Mytilus edulis: one gene and its partner. The protein of the gene in region 1 purifies or fractionates together with the protein of each later gene. This does not show direct contact. Links are inferred from orthologs where the notes say so. Each region holds a gene or a part of one and is shown in the gene's direction. Other genes may lie near its edges.

Evidence for each region.
Region 2: the proteins of B-cell receptor-associated protein 31-like (region 1) and cytochrome b5-like purify together in Homo sapiens (co-immunoprecipitation; 4 studies listed by BioGRID and IntAct, with this or other methods). This does not show direct contact. The link is inferred for Mytilus edulis from reciprocal best matches to the Homo sapiens genes BCAP31 and CYB5A.

The regions. Positions count from the first base shown.
Region 1 is NC_092344.1:77,904,255-77,913,423, forward strand, and holds the start of B-cell receptor-associated protein 31-like, read left to right. Parts: upstream 1-4,976; 5' UTR 4,977-5,203; intron 5,204-7,380; exon of another isoform or gene 7,381-7,382; coding exon of another isoform or gene 7,383-7,477; intron 7,478-8,283; 5' UTR 8,284-8,291; coding exon 8,292-8,386; intron 8,387-9,169. Other genes in the region: dynein regulatory complex protein 11-like, read right to left, coding at 469-705, 1,209-1,299, 4,876-4,886. UniProt on the Homo sapiens protein: Functions as a chaperone protein. Is one of the most abundant endoplasmic reticulum (ER) proteins.
Region 2 is NC_092348.1:64,360,505-64,369,272, forward strand, and holds the start of cytochrome b5-like, read left to right. Parts: upstream 1-5,262; 5' UTR 5,263-5,321; coding exon 5,322-5,429; intron 5,430-8,768. Other genes in the region: cytosolic iron-sulfur assembly component 2B-like, read right to left, coding at 877-986, 2,228-2,273, 2,779-2,904, 3,723-3,802, 5,076-5,199.

The DNA.
Region 1 (9,169 bases):
TAAATCTGTAGAACAATCAAACACATATTCATTAAAACTTTCATCTGAAATTAGAGAATTTTGTTTATTTAAATGCTCTATCAACTGTTAAAATCAAAAAGAGAAATAATTTGGAAAATTTCTTAAAATTGATAGGCAAACAATACATATGGAATCTGATGTTCATTAGTTGTCGTTTGTTGGTGTGATTCATAAGTGTTTCTCCTTATTCATATAGATCAGTCTGTTGGTTTTCCAGTTTGAATGATTTTACACTAGTAATTTTTCAGGCTGTTTATCGCTTGCTGTTCAGTGTGAGCCATGGCTCTGTGTTGAAGACCGTACTTTTACCAGTCACCTTTAATGGTTTACTTTAATGAATTGTGACTTGGATGAAGAGTTTTCTCATGGGCAATGATACCACATCTTCTTATATCTATTTGGATCTTTATTTATCTTTTTAACCATTTATGAGATAGTTGTACATACTGGTGTCAACTTTAAATCTGATAAGACATCATCAAAGTAGTGGTATTCTGAGAACTCAAGGTTGACCATTTCATGTTTCAGTTCTAAAATTCTCCCCATAGCTCCATCCAGAACATGACGTAAAACTCTTCTTTTCTGTGGGTGGACAATCTGATCATATGACTGCTCTAATTTACGGAATATTTGTATATATTTTATATACATGGTGGCTAGCAACTGGAATGCTGCCAAACGATCCTAAAATAAAATTGTAATATGCATTGTATAACTAACTTGTAATATTTTTTTTAATAGAGTATGTCATCAAAAGTGGTAAACAAGTCAAAGGTCAACATAGCATACAAGGTCTGATAACAAGAAAATGCATTATGACTGTGACTGTATGTTGTTTAGGACTAAAATATTGCCTTCCTCCAAAATTGTACCAATAAACTGTATACATGGTATATAAAATATAGAAAAATATTCAACTTTTTATTTTCCTATTTGTATGGATTTATTTGGAAAATATAAATACTTTCTAACCAAATGCATGATTTAATTTCATGATTTTCAAAATGATATAATTTACATTCAAGGAACATGAGGAAAGATACAAGTTTAACATACATTGAATTACTTTTTTTCAGCTTTGAAAAATCACACACAAAAAAATTCACCCACCTCAATTAGTTGGTTTATTTATGTATTACAGTTTCTGTTTATGCAATATGAATGTTAGGATGATATGTAGTACAAACCTTTTCTGGTTTTGGTGGCTCTTCTGGGATTTCCTGTTGCAGGAGATCCTGCAAGGCTGATTGTCCCTCTCCCCATTGTTTGTTGTAGGTGCTAAGAAAGAAAAAGAAAAAATACACAGTCTACATAACATTGCTTGTACATATATATATATATATATATATATATATATATATATATATATATAAGTGTAATTACCTGTCAACCAACAGTTCAGATCTCAGTATGTCTAAGCTGACATAGAATCTTATTTCAGTGCTTTAAGGTATAAATTTAATTAGAATTCTATGAACCCTTTACAGGTTACACAGTCAGACCTGTTATATTAAATAGACATGTTTTGACAGTTATTCATCATGTTCATAGTGACATTTATAAAATCTTAATTCCTGGAACAATTTAATATACAGTGAAACCTGTCCAAACCGAACACCCTCAGGACTTTGCGTTTTGTTCGGTTTTCACAGGTGTTCAGATTATAGAGGTAAACGGAAGTCGACACCAAAATAATTTTGGCATTTACTAACCAGGGATAATAGGTGACACAATAGACAACAGTTTATTCTTGTGTTGATTTAGATGTAAATGTAAAAATAAAAGAAGATGAAGATAGACGTTTTGCTACATTTTTGTTTTTGATCGATGGGGTAGCTGACCAGTTTAACGTATCTTTACAAAAAAATCACTTTATACATGAACACAGACATGCTAATTAGTTTGTAATAACAACTCACAAGTTCATTAAACCTCAAATACCTTCGGGGATACTCTGCCATTCCGTGTTTGTTTAATTAAATCATGCAAATAATTAATAATGTTTATTGTTTTTATTGGTATTGATCGATTTTGACAGGTAATTTTTAGATACAAATTTACTAACGAGCCTTCAAAAAGCGTTCGGAATTCGGTGTTGACAGGGTTCGTTTTTTTCAGGTTAAATTAACGTTAATTGATAGGGAAATTTTGTGGGACTTTGAACATTGTTCGGTTTCAACTGAAATTCGGTTTTATCGGGGTTCGGTTTACCCAGGTTTCACTGTACTTAATATATATCAGAATAATCAAGTCTTGTGCCAACATGGCCAATCTTTCAATACAATAAAAAAAATTCATCTGCTAATGGCGCAGTAATGGTACAAATAAAAATGTTTATGATTGATCACATGTAACGTTGTTAATCCTCAGTAAAGTTAAGGTCTGCAGTCCTGGAACAATACATCTAAATACTGCTATTCCCACTTGACCCGGGAATCTGTCCCACTTTAATTTTCAACGTCATACAACAATCCCTTTTCCATTGTAGCTTCAAAATTTTTCTATTATGACAACTTTTGAGACGTCTAGTAATGGTGGACAAATAGGAATCCGGGTCCGTTCGCACCCAATCACATTCGCACCAATTCACATGCGCCCCCTTTCACTTTCGCACCCCACATGTTTGCACCCAGTCTGTTCACGCCCAATTTTACTGAGTTTTGGAAGGTGTATTGATATAAATATATATGTCATTGCTTCTTAATAATTTGAGATTCTGACAAGTTTTTTTTTGTATCATGGTAAGTTTATTGCTACATGTATGAAAAAAAAAAATCATTGTTTTAATTAAAGTGTGATTCTGTGATTCTGGCAACAAGTATTTCAATTTTGTGTTGAATAATTCTTAATGTTTCTAAATAAAGTGAGATTATGACAACGTTCTGTATGTGTTTATAAAATCTTAATCATGTTTTGGATAGTGTATGGCTTGAAATATTTTGTTTATGAATAAAGTGAGATTCTGACATCGTTTTTTTTTTGTGTGGTTGTTGAATACATCTTAAATCAATTGCAATCCAGGGCATTTATTTATTGCGTTAGTTTCATATATTTTATTCGTCCTTATATCATATATTTCATATATTTTATTTGTCCTTATATCATACATTCTTACAATTATTCAAAACAAACATCATAAATATCAACAGTAAAGAACTTAAGTTTAAGGGGGCTAGCGGGTCTAAATCAATTTTTTTATTTAATATAGGATTTCGCTATATTTTGGGGTCACATTCATTTACGCTCACAATGCCTTCGAAAGAAACATACATTTTTGTAAATGTCCTTTTTTTCTGTTGAACTAATAGGAGAAATAGCGGTAATATCGAAATAAAAAAAGAACTAAATTACAGAAATGCCTTAAATTTTACAATTATTTAGTTTATGTACAGCTTATTCGAAAACAACAATAAAAAATATAGGTCACCGATGAGTTAAAAAAGATATTTCATTTTTAATGCCAAAAAATGGCATTTTTGCACCAAAAAGGAGATAATTTGGAGCTTTTTCAATGATAACTACATTTTAAAAGTCGCCTTGGGCCAACAGGAATTGATTTTTTGGAATAATTTTTGAACCATATGATAAAGTAACAACTACTTAAGATATTTAATAAAATTTGTAAAGAAAATTAAATGTTTCATTTTTTTCTGAAAATCTTATAAATACATTTGTACCCGCGACCCTCCTTAGGCTCATCCTATCATGCACCATTCTAAAGAAAAAATACAGCACTTAAATATTCAGAGGTCTCACTAAATTAATTAGCGACAAGAAGAATAAATTTAGCGAAAATGTGAGATGCGAAAGTGTATTGGGTGCAAACGGACCTGATACCGACAAAAAGCGATAAGGTGTATTTGACAAAAGTCACGTGTAAAGAAAAAATCTCTGTGTAGTAATATTGGTAATGGACATGTTTCTATTTTTAACAAATGACTGAACTTAATTATTTGTGGTGATAAGGAAAGTAGAGGAACATAGAAATAAATGTGTAAAAACTATGGAGCTATTGAATGTGTTCAAAGTATTAAATTTTCAAAGAACTTATTGTGTTAAAAAGGGGATATTTTACCACAAGGAGCCGCATCACAAAAGGATGTTCGGGGTTTGCTAATTTACGGAAAAAGTACATGTAATCTCACTTCGTACCCCGAAAAATTTAACCACATATGTGAAAATGTCACAGCTTCGTAACGAGCTATCATACATATCCAAGTTTACAATATGGACTGAGCTACAGGAAAAAACGTTACCATTACCGCCTATGTAAAAACAATTAAAGATATTGAGCCAAGTGACGAATGTCATATGTAAACAAATGATCCTCATAGAAACGAAGATGGCGGAATTACAATAGAAAACATTCTGGAAAATGTGAAGGTCAGGATTATTACAGTGTGATCACTTAAAAGGTAGGTCAGTAGTCATGGTAGTGGTTTTTCTTTTTGTGATTTATGAATGGAATGTGAAAAACTATATCTCGAGTGAACCCATTTGATAGTTTAGATTATTTTTACCGATAACCACTACGAATTTCAGCTGACGGCGACTATAAAAACGTTGACATTAAATATCACCCACGTCAGAAGATGTGTTACTTCCAAAATTAAAAATTATAGGAGTACAAGAAACAAGCAATTTGCATGGCTTTCAAGAGTTCTTTTACTTGAGAGGTCCCAACATTTTATCAACAAACAGACAAATGTTTTTATGATCAACTTGAAAAATTAATTAAGTGCAATCAAAACCCTTGCCAATGGTAAAACATGCGATGCTTTGGTATTTCAAAGCAATTACTGACTTGTAAAATTCAAATATTCATAGAATTAAGAATTAAGTGGATAAACAAACCTGTGAGACATCCTCAAACTAACAGAAAATAATGCAGATTACAAATTTTACGCCATGATGTTTGTGTTTCTATAACAACGTTTAAATCTCGCTTACAAATCCTTGCCGAGATTATGAATTGTCATCGATCTTAGTCAAATTATCGTTTTTAGCAACTGATATTAACGATAGCTTACAAGACATTTAATGACTAAGAAGGTCACTTTCGAGAATATTGCAACTTTTTTTATCTTCATAATTTAAGATATAGTAAAGGTTTGTGTTTAGAGTCATCGTGAAATAAACCTAGAAACACAAAAAGTACATAGGGAAACTGAAAAATCAACAGGTCGGTACACATTAGAAAAAGTCAATAAGCCAATATGAAACAGGAAGGCAAAACCTCTTTTCGACATTCATTCAAAATTTAATCTATTTTTCTCCTTCACGAAATGGTCTTACTTTTGAATGTAGATTCTCCAATCTGAAACTTGGTTTGCCACCATTCACGTAGACCCCTTTCATTAAAAAAAATTTATAACAGCATTCATCATGTTCATATACATATATGAGGGTGGTAAAGGGGGGTAGCTTGCACGAGAAAAACGTGAAATAATTTCTGTAATGAACGTTGCACGAAAAATAAATACTTTTATGTGAACCTTTTATGACTGAATCACTGTCTTCTTGTATATATTAACTCTTTGTTTTACTTGATTTTCCCAATTTAGTATACACATTAATGTTATAATTGGTTTACGGCGTTTAAAAAAGTATTTCTTGAAGATCCCTGCCAAGTGTTTGAATTTTATTTGAAAAATACCGAGCACGCAAAATAAGACTTTGAAAATCACGATGCACGTAAAATTAAATAAGCAGAACACGTTGAACGAGGCACCCGTCTTGCACGACTGAACGTCAAATAAAAAAGTAAAAACACGTTGAACGTGAAATAAAAAACGGCGATCACGTTGCACGAAAATAACCCTTTACCACCCTCATATATTCTTGTTAATAAAATTGCTTGTTTAAGGGCATATGATAAAATACACCTTATCGCTATTTGTCTGTCATTACTGAAAATCACACAGGTTGCCGTAAAATTTTGACGTCATAAAACAAAATATCTGATGCCACAATGGAAAAGTGATTGTTGTATGCTTCAAAAGTTCAAGCGGCCGGGTCAGCCAGGATTAGTGATAAGGTGTATAACAGGGAGGTTAAATGTGAAATGTTATTTTTGCGACATCAGACTGACATATCATAGAAAAGATGCATTTTTTGACTGATTTTCATCATTCAAACTGATTTAATTTGAAAACGAGTTCATGGACACCTCTTTTGTTAAAAGACATTTGGTTTCCTTACAAATGAAGATTATTTTTACCAATTTCAAGAGAGTGTCAATATTGCAAATTTTTTAAATTTGATAAATATACAGCAAAAACTGAGTTTTTTTCTACATTCATGAATATTTGATAAATATGTCATTTTGTATGTGTTATTTGTATAATATAAATGCATTAATATAAAGAACATTTATATAAAACAGAACTTACAGATAATTTAACAAAAAACAGCTTGTGTTTATCTTTTAAAATAAAAAAAGTTATGGATTTCTTTCAACATGTTCAAAAGGAAAAATACGTCCACAAATCTGAATTTTGTGCTAATATCTGAAATTTCAACCTCATTTTACTCAAAAAGTAGCACATGAAGGTATATATATTTTATTACATATTTGATTTAATCAGGTTAAAAATAGCCTATATGCAATTTTTCATCAAAATTTCAAAATGGGATCAAAACTGAATCATATGCCCTTTATAATCAGATTGGTTACACTTTTTGATAATTTTAATATTATAAACTATCATGACTATGTCTGCATACATGACACAATTGCACAGTCTGTTCCAAACTGTATTAAAGTTTGACTGACCGAAAAAGAAATTTGACCTTTTCTTCTATATTTTCAACTAGAAAAAACTAAAAATTTCTATGTGAATAAATGAAATTTTGTCAGACAATAAGTTGGTCAGACAGAGTTACGGATACACTGATCATGCTGATTACAGTAAACATACAGGGGCCTTGGTGACCGAGTGGTCTAAGTTGTTACTACTGTAATCACTAGCCATTCGACACTGAGGTTGTGAGCTTGAACCCTGCTCTTTCGGGTGCCCTGGACTCCAATCTTAATTGAGTAGGATTGTCAGTTTTCCTATTGCAGGTCAATGGTTTTCTCTAGGCACTCTGGCTTCCTCCACTAATGAAAAATGGCTGCCACGAAGTAGCCTAAATGTGGTGCTCAAAAGTGGCGTTAAAACACCAAAAATCAAATCTGTAAACACATGTTAGAAAGGGAAAAAACTTCCGCTAAACAATTATACAACATATATAATTAAAAATAACGACATTTATTGTTTATGTTCATGATGTTTCAGATGTTCAGCTAATAAAATCAGTTATATATATGTATATATGTATATATACAATTGTAAAAAAGAAATAGTTTTATTACAGCCATGGTTGGAATACTGTGGTCAGGTATAGCTGGGTATCTATATGTTGAAATAACAATAGCTGTTATACTTATGTTACCATTTGTATCAGCACAAAGGTAAGAGTGTCAGATGTGTATTCCGTAGCTTTCACATGCAAAAAGTTCAGTTTGCATGCAAAATGCTATTCTCAAGAAAATTCACTTTTGAATGGTATTTGCTTAACTTTTCCATACAGTCATATATAAAACCATTTTGTAATTTTTTCATGATATGAATATCTCAAACTAAGCTTTATTAAAAAGAAAAAGAATTGTGCATAGTTATTTGTCAATCTAGCCATGCTAGCTAAAATGAGCTATAGGCTGTCAAATACCAAAATTAAAAAAAGGCAACTTGTTAAGTTGTTTAAAAAACATTTGTTGATTTTCTAGTTGTTTTCTATGTACAGAAATTTTGAGATCAGAACAATAAACATGTCATGAAAATTTGACATCATTATAATCATCTTTTAGATTTGATAGAGTGCATTTATTTATAATTTATGAGTTGGAAATTAATATTGTACTACAATTTTTTTCATTATAGAATAGCTTTAAAAAGAAAATAATTGAGCTTTTTTAAAATATTGTATTTGAACTCAAAACTGTTTTTCTAGTATTATAGTAATTAATAAATATGCAGCAATTATATGACATGTACATGTATGAACATGAAAAATATTTTCTAGTAATTATAGTAATTAATATAAATGTGCAGCTATTATATAATTTGGCTTATTATCTGAAATTTAAACACAAATCATGTCCTATGCATTTTTTTAGTAGCACTCTTGTGAAAGAATTTGGTACAAATAATTTCTAACAATGAATGAAATGGATTATTATTGTCCTGCATTATGACCTTTAGTTTTCTTCCTGTACAGATTTAACAATGACTGGTATAATATGGACTTCCATTTCGGGGTTTATGTATCTTGAAATATTTGTATCGGTAATTTTATTGATACCATATATTTCTCCATCTAGGTAAGCACTGATCTTTACAGCATTCATTAGTGGCAGCTACTGTACATATTGACTTCTACAAAACCCATGTGGCCTTTTAATCTGGTAAAAATTAATCTGTTGCTGTGTTGAAGAACCATTGGCTGTTTGTTTTTTTACTCTTTGGTTTGGTTGTTGTCCTCTTTGACATATTCCCCATTTCCATTCTTGATTTTATTAAAAATCAATTTAAAATTATTAAAAAATATACTGTAGAAACTCATTGAAAACCACATTAGTTTTAAAGGAGTCAATGATGCTTTAAGCAAAATTAGATAACTAACATTGCATCATGTTCATGAATTATCATTTACACAGACATTAATCTAATTAAAGGTGTATATATCTATATAAAACAACTGTCATCATATATTGGTTCATGTATCCACAATTCTGATTTGAGTAAGAAAGTGCAAATCAAACAATGTCAAATGTATAAAACAGGATACTGATTGTACACCTTTAATCTCATGCATTTGGATTTTCAAGGCCATAATGAAATTAAAGTACTTCAAGATTTTCATCCAAAATCCTCTCAAAATATTTGTATATATTCCTTTTTTTTCTTCTTTTTTTTTTTTTTATCAATTTCCATTTCAACATGGAACCAATTCATTACCATAATTAATGAATTAACATGACTTAAACAGTAAAATTGAAATGCCATCTCTTTTCAATTTAAAAAAAAGATATGGATGAAAACCTGGACATATTATTTTCATTGTGGCCTAAGTGATTTTGATACTGTAAATTCAGAAATTATTG
Region 2 (8,768 bases), on another chromosome or scaffold:
AGATAAAATACTTAGTATTGCTTTTTGCAGAATCTGCTGTCTGGTCAATGAGAGATATGAATTATAATTTATATAAGTATATCACAAAAGGGAGATAAGTGTTGCAATTACAATTTAAATCTACATTAAACATGGGAGATAACTCTGAACAATAATTAAAAAAAAAAATAACAGACTAAGGTTGAGACTTAATGTTTTATTCATTCATGCACACTTTAATTTGAAATCTTTTCATGCTCAATTTAATGAATTTGATACAATGATACAATGAAAAGACCACTAAAAGCTACAACAATGTTTTGAGTGTAACATAACTTAAATTTACTATTTTCAATAGACTTTTTATGAAGAGCTTGTGTATAATAACTATGTGATCTTGTGAATGCAATAACTACATGAAGTCACTGTTGATCAATTTATTTATATATATATTCATAATAATTATAAATAACCAAAAATGTATTAACGTGTCTTAGGTATAACTATTTTTTATAACTGTACCAAAAGAGAAATGGGCTAATAACATTTTTGGGCTATTCTCTACTTTAAAATGTTGAGGTAGCCAGGCATTGGTAAAGATTATGTCTTAATTATTTTTTCAAGCAATTAAACAGAAAGTCGGCCTTATATTGGAGGTGTTAAAACTTTATCTATGAGTAAAAGTCCTGGGCTTTCTTCAAGCTTTTACACATTATGCAAGTTGTCCAGTTGTAAATCAAGTCTATCTGTTTTGATTGTTATTATTTATATTCAAAAGTCATTCAGCCATTCTGCATTAAAGATGGTCCTTGAACAACAGTTATAAAACAGTTTTGAGCCCAGGGCCTGAAAAGTGATGAAAATGCATGGATTTGGAATCAATTAGAAAGTAAATCTCTATCCGAGTTTTCTTTTCTGGTCATCCAAACACTGATTAACAACTTCTATCAAATGACTGTTCTCCAAAGCTGCAGCTACTCTTTCTTTGTCTGCTAATTGTTTGTTTACTGAAAATATAAAATCAATTATTGTAAAAGTACCATCTTATATCGACAGGGGTTCAAATGAGTGTGGGTCAAAGGTCGACGAACAGTCTTTACTATGAAGATTCTAAATCTACATAACAAAGGAAGATGACGTTCATTTTTTATACTGTTATGGGACTGTTGACTTTATAGAAAGGTCCTTTTACTTCAAAATTGAAATGGTCCCAAATAGTTCATTACTTAAAGAGAGAGTTAAACAACTGCAGTCAGTTGTACGAACATGTTATTAGCCTAATGTGTCATTAAGTCTTCATTAGCCTAATGTATCACAAGGGCTTAATGAAGACTTAACAAGTGAAACTGCGAGCTACTGCTCACTGATGATACCCCGCCGCAAGTGGATAATATTAATAGTGTAAAAATATGCAAGTGTTCGGTAAACAGGAAGTTGTCGAGTGATGAACTGAAAACGCATCACACGGTATAGCTGACTTATATAAATCCTGAAACCAAATTTCAGAAATCCTTGTATTGTAGTTCCTGAGAAAAATGTGACGAAAATTTTCAACTTGGCTATCATGTGTAAAATCAGACAAGTGTTCGGTAAACAGGAAGTTGTCAAGTGATGAATCTGAAAACGCATCACATATATAAATGTTGATACCAAATTACAGAAAGGGTGGATGTGTAGTTCCTGAGAAAAATGTGACGAAAGTTTCATGGGACGGACTGACTGACGGACGGACTGATGGACTGACAGACAGAGGTAAAACAGTATACCCCCCCTTTTTTAAAGCGGGGGTATAATAAAGCGGGGGTATAATAAAGCGGGGGTATAATTACATGTTCGTACAACCGGCTGCAGACATTTTATTTATATTATAGATGAAAAATTATTATATATGTTCTTTTAAAACATATAGAACTTTGAACACAAAAAATTCCAATTGAAAATGGTAGATAACAAAATGTTCAGACAGAAAATGGTATTTGACTTTTTTCTGATTCCAGTAATATTGGTGACAAGTTTCAATTTGTTTAAGAATGTTTGGCAATAGATAAAAGCAAACAAACGCTTTTAGTGCATCATTTTTCAAACACACCAAAATATCAAGATCTTGTGAATAGCAGCAGCAAGACTGGATTAAACAAATTTATACAATAATAACTGAATGCTTAGAATTTCCTTGGTGAGCCTATGTCTATATACTTTACATTTGAAATTAGAAATTTTTAACATCAACATTTTATAACAAAGTTACCTGCTTCTTCCGATGCATGTGCTCCAGGTGTTATTGAAACATCTACCTGCAATTAAAAAATTACATGATCTGACAGGAGTGAAAATCTTGTTGATAATTTTTGCAATTTTTCTATTTATCATTGTTTTTCAGATATGACAATCAGATGCTCCACAGGGCACAGCTTTATATGACTGCTAAGGTGAAACCCTGAACTGAGATATACTGTTTAGCTATTAATATTTTAATTATTTTTGTCTTTAATATCTTTTAAGAGAGCAGCAAAATATTCATATGAACCCAAAGCACAAAGTGTATTATTTTCAAATAAAAACTTCTGATACTTTTCTTTTTCTATCAGCTAAATCATTGATACATTACAAGAAACTCATAAAAATGCTATATAAGGTCTTGCAATGCTCTTGCTCCAATAAAAAATCCTCAGCTTACCAATAACAAGGATTTGTATAGTATAGTCTTACTATACAAATCCTTGCCAATAACTTTTTTGAAATTAAGTTTTTTTATTTTTAAGGATGTTTTTCTGTGGCTTTATGTTACATTTTTGATACCTTGAATCTTGGTGGCAGAGATCTTAGAAGTTTAACCCGAATAGACAATCCAATCAATGTTGCCATACTACAGTGTGGAATTGTGGGTGTAAATTCTATCGTCACTTTGTTAGCATCATCATCTACCTGAAAGAAAAATTCACATAACATTATGGTGCATATAATTCTAATGAAATGTACAACTTCTATTCACGGCTGTCTGCTCTTTGGTCGGGTTGTTGTCTCTATGACATATTCTCCATTTCCATTCTCAATTTAATCAATCTGAATAAAGTTAGATATTTCACTATAGCTCTTTTGAGATTTTTCCTGCGACTTGTCTGAAAACATCCAATATGGGAAATCAAGCACTGATTAACATGATTAATGATGTAATGTATTTATAATTATTATTTCCACTTGCAGACTCAAAACAGTCTCTTGAAAATATATCTTGAAGTTATGATTTTATTTCATCTGATTTTAATTTTCTTTTAGATATCTCTTGAATTCAAATGAGGGTTACGGACATTCAATTGCCAATACACTATATTTCTTTTTAGTTCTTAAATTTGTTTATGTTCCCACTCAAGGTGAGTCTTTTTTACAGCAGATACTTTATAAAAGGTTAAATAATGAACAATGTAGCTCAGAAGACAGTTATCCAGAAACACATCACATTATGCTTGTAAGATTAAAATAAATGACATTACTAGCATCTACTGTAAATTCAGTAATTATTGCATGCATTTATTATTGCAATTTTTGTCAATTTAGACTACAATGTGATTTTATTTTTTTGCCATATTGAGAAAAATCCTGTTTAATTTAAGGAAAAATTTCAAAATGCGAATTTAAATTATTGCTATTATAACCCTGTCCCATTTTTCACAATAATAAAATCATCGCAATAATTTCTGAATTTACAGTAATCTTTTTTATTCAGTTGATAGTAATATACTTACAATAACTTTGCTTTGCTCAACAACATTCAATTCCTCTAATGTCAGTGGATGTTCAGGGTCATTTATAACACGGATCAAATCTGAAATAAACATATTATTTAACTATATGCTACAGTTATGGTAAAGATAATTGATTAAAGTATCAATCAGAAATAAAAAATAAAGACTTAGAAATTTGCCCCCTGGCTCAATATGTGAATAGATATAAGAAGCTGTGGTATCAGTGCCAATGAGATCACTGTCCATCCAAGTCACAATTTGTAAAAGTAAACCATTATAGGTCAAAGAACGGTCTTCAACACAGAACTTTCGCTCACAATGAATGACAAGCTTTAAAGGGCCTCAAATATGACTAGTGTTAAACCATTCAAATGGTGAAGTATTGTCAACTATTAGAAGTTGATCAAGAAAGTAATTTATAAATATATATCTTTATGCTTTCAAAGGCATCAACTGTCATGGATTGATTTCATGGGTTTTACAATTGCTTTAGCGACTATAATCATGATAGTGAATGTGTATAGTTGTGAAACTTAAACCTAAACTACAACAAAGTATAACAAAAGAGATGATTTACATTTTCCCATAGTGACCTTTCCATATATCTGTGGAGCATGATAATCATATGATGAGCCTATATATCTCCCAATAGATACAATATCTCAGTGCTTGCAATTGGAACATCATTAGATAGTTAAGAGGCATTGTCACTTCCTACCAAATTATATGTTGAGGAAGAGGTTGAAAAAAATATGCTGATGTATTGCACAATTTATTCTGTATTCAGGGAATTGTGATAATAGTATTACGGAACAAACTTTATTTCCGGTTTATGCGGCAAAATGACAATTATAAAGACGCTTGATGAATTTAGATAGAGCAGAGATACATGGGATCCTATATATGGTAAATGATGTCATAAAGGTGCACATAATCAATTGACAATCTTTTCCAATGAAGGACATAACTGGAAGTAGAAAGTGGTCTATTGAGATATTTTGTATTGTAATGGCATGATAGGGGTTGGTAGTGTTTTTGATGTGTAAGGCAATATGTCGAAGTTAGGAGTCAAAGAAAAAAATTATAATGGCCTTTCAAGACGTCATAATCATTTAATTGGCCTAGGCAATATTATGCAGTGTTTAAGCACAGGCACTCGTCTCAAAAAAAAAATCCTATATACCTTTAGAAAAAAAAATCTGAGACGAGTGCCTGTGTGTTTTATAAGGGTGACAAGACAGACCTGGCAATACAGTTTTAATTTAAATGTTTACTAAAGTTGCAGCTTTAGCAAGTGGTACCCATGACATGGTTCTGATTTAGTCAGCTGTCGTATTATTTAGTTTATCTTACCAAAAACTTCTCTTGTATCTATTTTGTCTGTAACACTTTCATCTTCTTCCTCTGGTAAGACCGGTCTCTCAGAACCAACTTCGTATATTGTAGGATTTGCATTGTCTAAATCATTTTGGGACATTTTGAAGTGAATTTCATGCTAATCCGGAAAAATATTAAGGGGAGTAACTCTGTTCGTCCGTTTCGAATTTTATAAGTTTTCTTTCATTTCCGGGACATTCACGAAATCTCGACTTTTGCAAAATGACGAAAGTTTTCAGAGAAGCCGACGTAAAGAACAACACTGATAAAACAAAGACTCTTATGATCATTCATGATAATGTTTATGATGTTTCAAAGTTTCTTGAAGAGGTAAGTTATGATGGGCAGATGGTTTTAAAGACTTGACATTCACATTGGGACACATAATCATAAAGGTCAAGATGTAGGACGTACGAAACAAAAATTGAAAGGATAAATTATGGACAAATGAAAGAAATTCATCATTCGGCATGTTCAAAGCTAATACATGATAATAATTTTATATTAAAATGTAAATTTTATTGTACTATAATATTCCTGTGTATAATTTATGAATGGGTAAAACTGCAGTTCTGTATCAATCCACATTTTAACCTTTATATACAAGTACCATATGACATCATACTCAACACACTTAAACAAATCTTTCACAATTTAATTCTAAGTTAAAATAGCTATATTTTCCTGTAAAGTTCTTGGTCCCATTTACTATGTCCCAATTTTGATGTTAACAAAATAAAAATTAAAACAAAAATCAACAAAATGTTTAGACTCCCCTTACCGGTGCTTGATAACGAAATAAAGGGTCTAAAATTGAACATTGAATTCTTGGGGTTCTATGTTATGCTGAATCTAACCATGTATTTAGATTTTGGATATTGGACCATAAATAGGTAAATGTCTAATTTAAATTTTTTTGGAAAGATAAGAACTTGTTTTAAATCTTTACTCTAAAGGCACTGGCCTCCCTAACAACACTACAGGTTAGCTACCTTTACTAAATGTTTTCACACTGAAATATAGTTCCCTATAGTTCTCATGTATGTGCACATAATACACATATAAACTGAAAAAAATGGGTATATTTTTGGAGCAGTTCATTTAAGAATGTATATCATTAAAGTTTGTTGATGTGCAGGCTTATTTTAAAACATTTTGATTAGGTTATTGAGTATTGATACAATACTCATATGATTGACAACTGGCATTATCAACAAACAATAAGAGACAAGGTAGACCTTTAATTATAATGCCCCACCTCCTAAACTGTCAATCAAATTGACCACATTACCTTTCAACATCTGTGTTACATAATTATACTCTAATATATATGCAACTCAATATACAAATATTTGACCTCATAATTGAATACACAAATGTGTATATTAGATGTTTGATACATTTATTATTTCCTATTTCTTTTTATCTACATTATGATTATCAGGGATCTCCATGGCCTGTTTAACGATGGCGCCCCGCCATCGTTCAAATGTCTTGCGCCATCGTCAAATGACTTGCTCCATCGTTAAATTGTCTTGCGCCATCGTTAAATTGTCTTCCGCCATCGTTCAAAACTTCATCGTTTTTTTGTAGCCCGACGCCATTTTTTTTATCAATTATAATCAAATGCATGTCATTGCATAACCCTTAGGCTTTTTATGTTATAATCCAATACAGTTCTAACGCCTGGGGGGTATCCGGATTAAGATCGCTAATCACTTGTACCTGAGCTTGTACAGGTAGATCAACAAACCAGACAGGAGAATACTATCTGAGGATAGACGATCCATTTGTCGAATTAACCAAATAAGTTTCAGCAAATGATTATGATAATTTAGATTAAATTAATAAATAATCCAGTTACAAAGAAAACAGTTGAACAAGTCGAACACATGCTTTATTTTGACTTACGCAATCAGCATCCTCCTTTTTAAAGAAGTACAAAATAAGACGCAAAACAGTAAATATTATTTCATCGCAAATAACTTGAGTACTACTGTAACGATAATTTAGAATTACTTTAAAAGTTTAAAAGTAAAAATTTAAATATTTCCTGTAAAGAAATATCGTATCGTAATTCCGAATTCATTTCGTATATTACAATCAAATTGATACATCCGCGTTTCCGGTTACTTTTTTAGACTCGAAAGATGCGGCATGTTGCACAGCATCAATTTGCAAGATAAAGTCATTAAAAACCTTTTCATTTGTCAACATTTGCTTTATAAATCTCTTTAACCTTTTACATAACCCGTACGAATCGTTTTGTTGTTGCTGCAAATCAGCCATACCGGTAATGGGTTCTGAATTTGACAGTGTCCATGAAAAATAAGCTCCACATCATATGATTTTTAACCCCCATAACAATTACCAAAAATACAAAAAATCTACATGGGGACCTCCATGACAGCTTTTGGTCATTCTCAACTAAGGGGGGACCATGAAGACTTGGCATTTGAATGATTAAAAACGGCAATAAATGAAAATATTGATACTTCTAATTCTATAATGAAAATTCAAATAAATATAATTTAAATAAGCAATTGAATTAGCATGTTCACCATTCCCTGTATGGAAGAATAAAATACTTCCGATCGCGCTACACTTTACAGCGTAGTCACGGTTTGTAATGGTGAAAGTTCCTCCATCGTTCAATTTTCATCCATGGAGATCCCTGTGATTACATAAAGTGATTCTGTAAATTATGTCTGAAAGATAAATAATGGAATAACAAGATCTTATAAAAAAAAAAATGAAATATGAATATGAATATATATATATATATATATATAAGATATTCAAGTAAGGCCTATAATTTTCTTAATGAATTTCCAATAAACATCTGTAGACTGTAATTAATCAACAATTTAGATTGGTTCCCTAATTTTTTTTATCAGGATTTGGCTTGAAACAGTTTTAAAATTTTAAAACTTTTAATTATAACAAACCATTGTTTATTTAATTATTAGTTTATTCCCCATCAATCCACATTTCAATAAAAAAAAGTTTTTTTAATTTGTTTACATTGAAAAAGTACATTTTCAATGCCCTGTGTTGAAAAATACTTTAAATATTGAGACACTCTACGACTTTTAATCTTTCAATGTCATATAACCTATGTTTCACAAAACAACATTTTTAGATTATTTTTGTTGACACTTTAATGTTCTTAGCTGTTGGTCTCGATTTTATGTTCAGCACAGGCAACATTATTTGGATAAGATATAAACTGCAGTTTAAATAAAATTGTGCAAGTTAAGAGAGCCGTATTATTTAATTTGAGCTCATTTTATCCTCATACTGGAAAAACTCTTCTCCTTCTAAAGACCTGCTGTAAATGCAATTTTCTCCAATAGTGCTTTATTAATGATCATTTTCCCTCACCATACCTTAATATGAAATTATTCAAACTACTCTTCTAATCTTTCCATGAGTGATTTCCATCACTTTGATTAAGTTTAAGTTCTTAGACCACATTCATTCTGTGTCAGAAACCCATGTTGTGTCAACTATTTAATCACAATCCAAATTCAGAGCTGTATCAAGCTTAAATGTTGTGTCCAACTGTTCATACTTGCCCCAACTGTTCAGGGTTCGACCTCTGCGGTCGTATAAAGCTGCACCCTGCAGAGCATCTGGTTTCATTTTAGTTCATTTAAATGTTTTGGA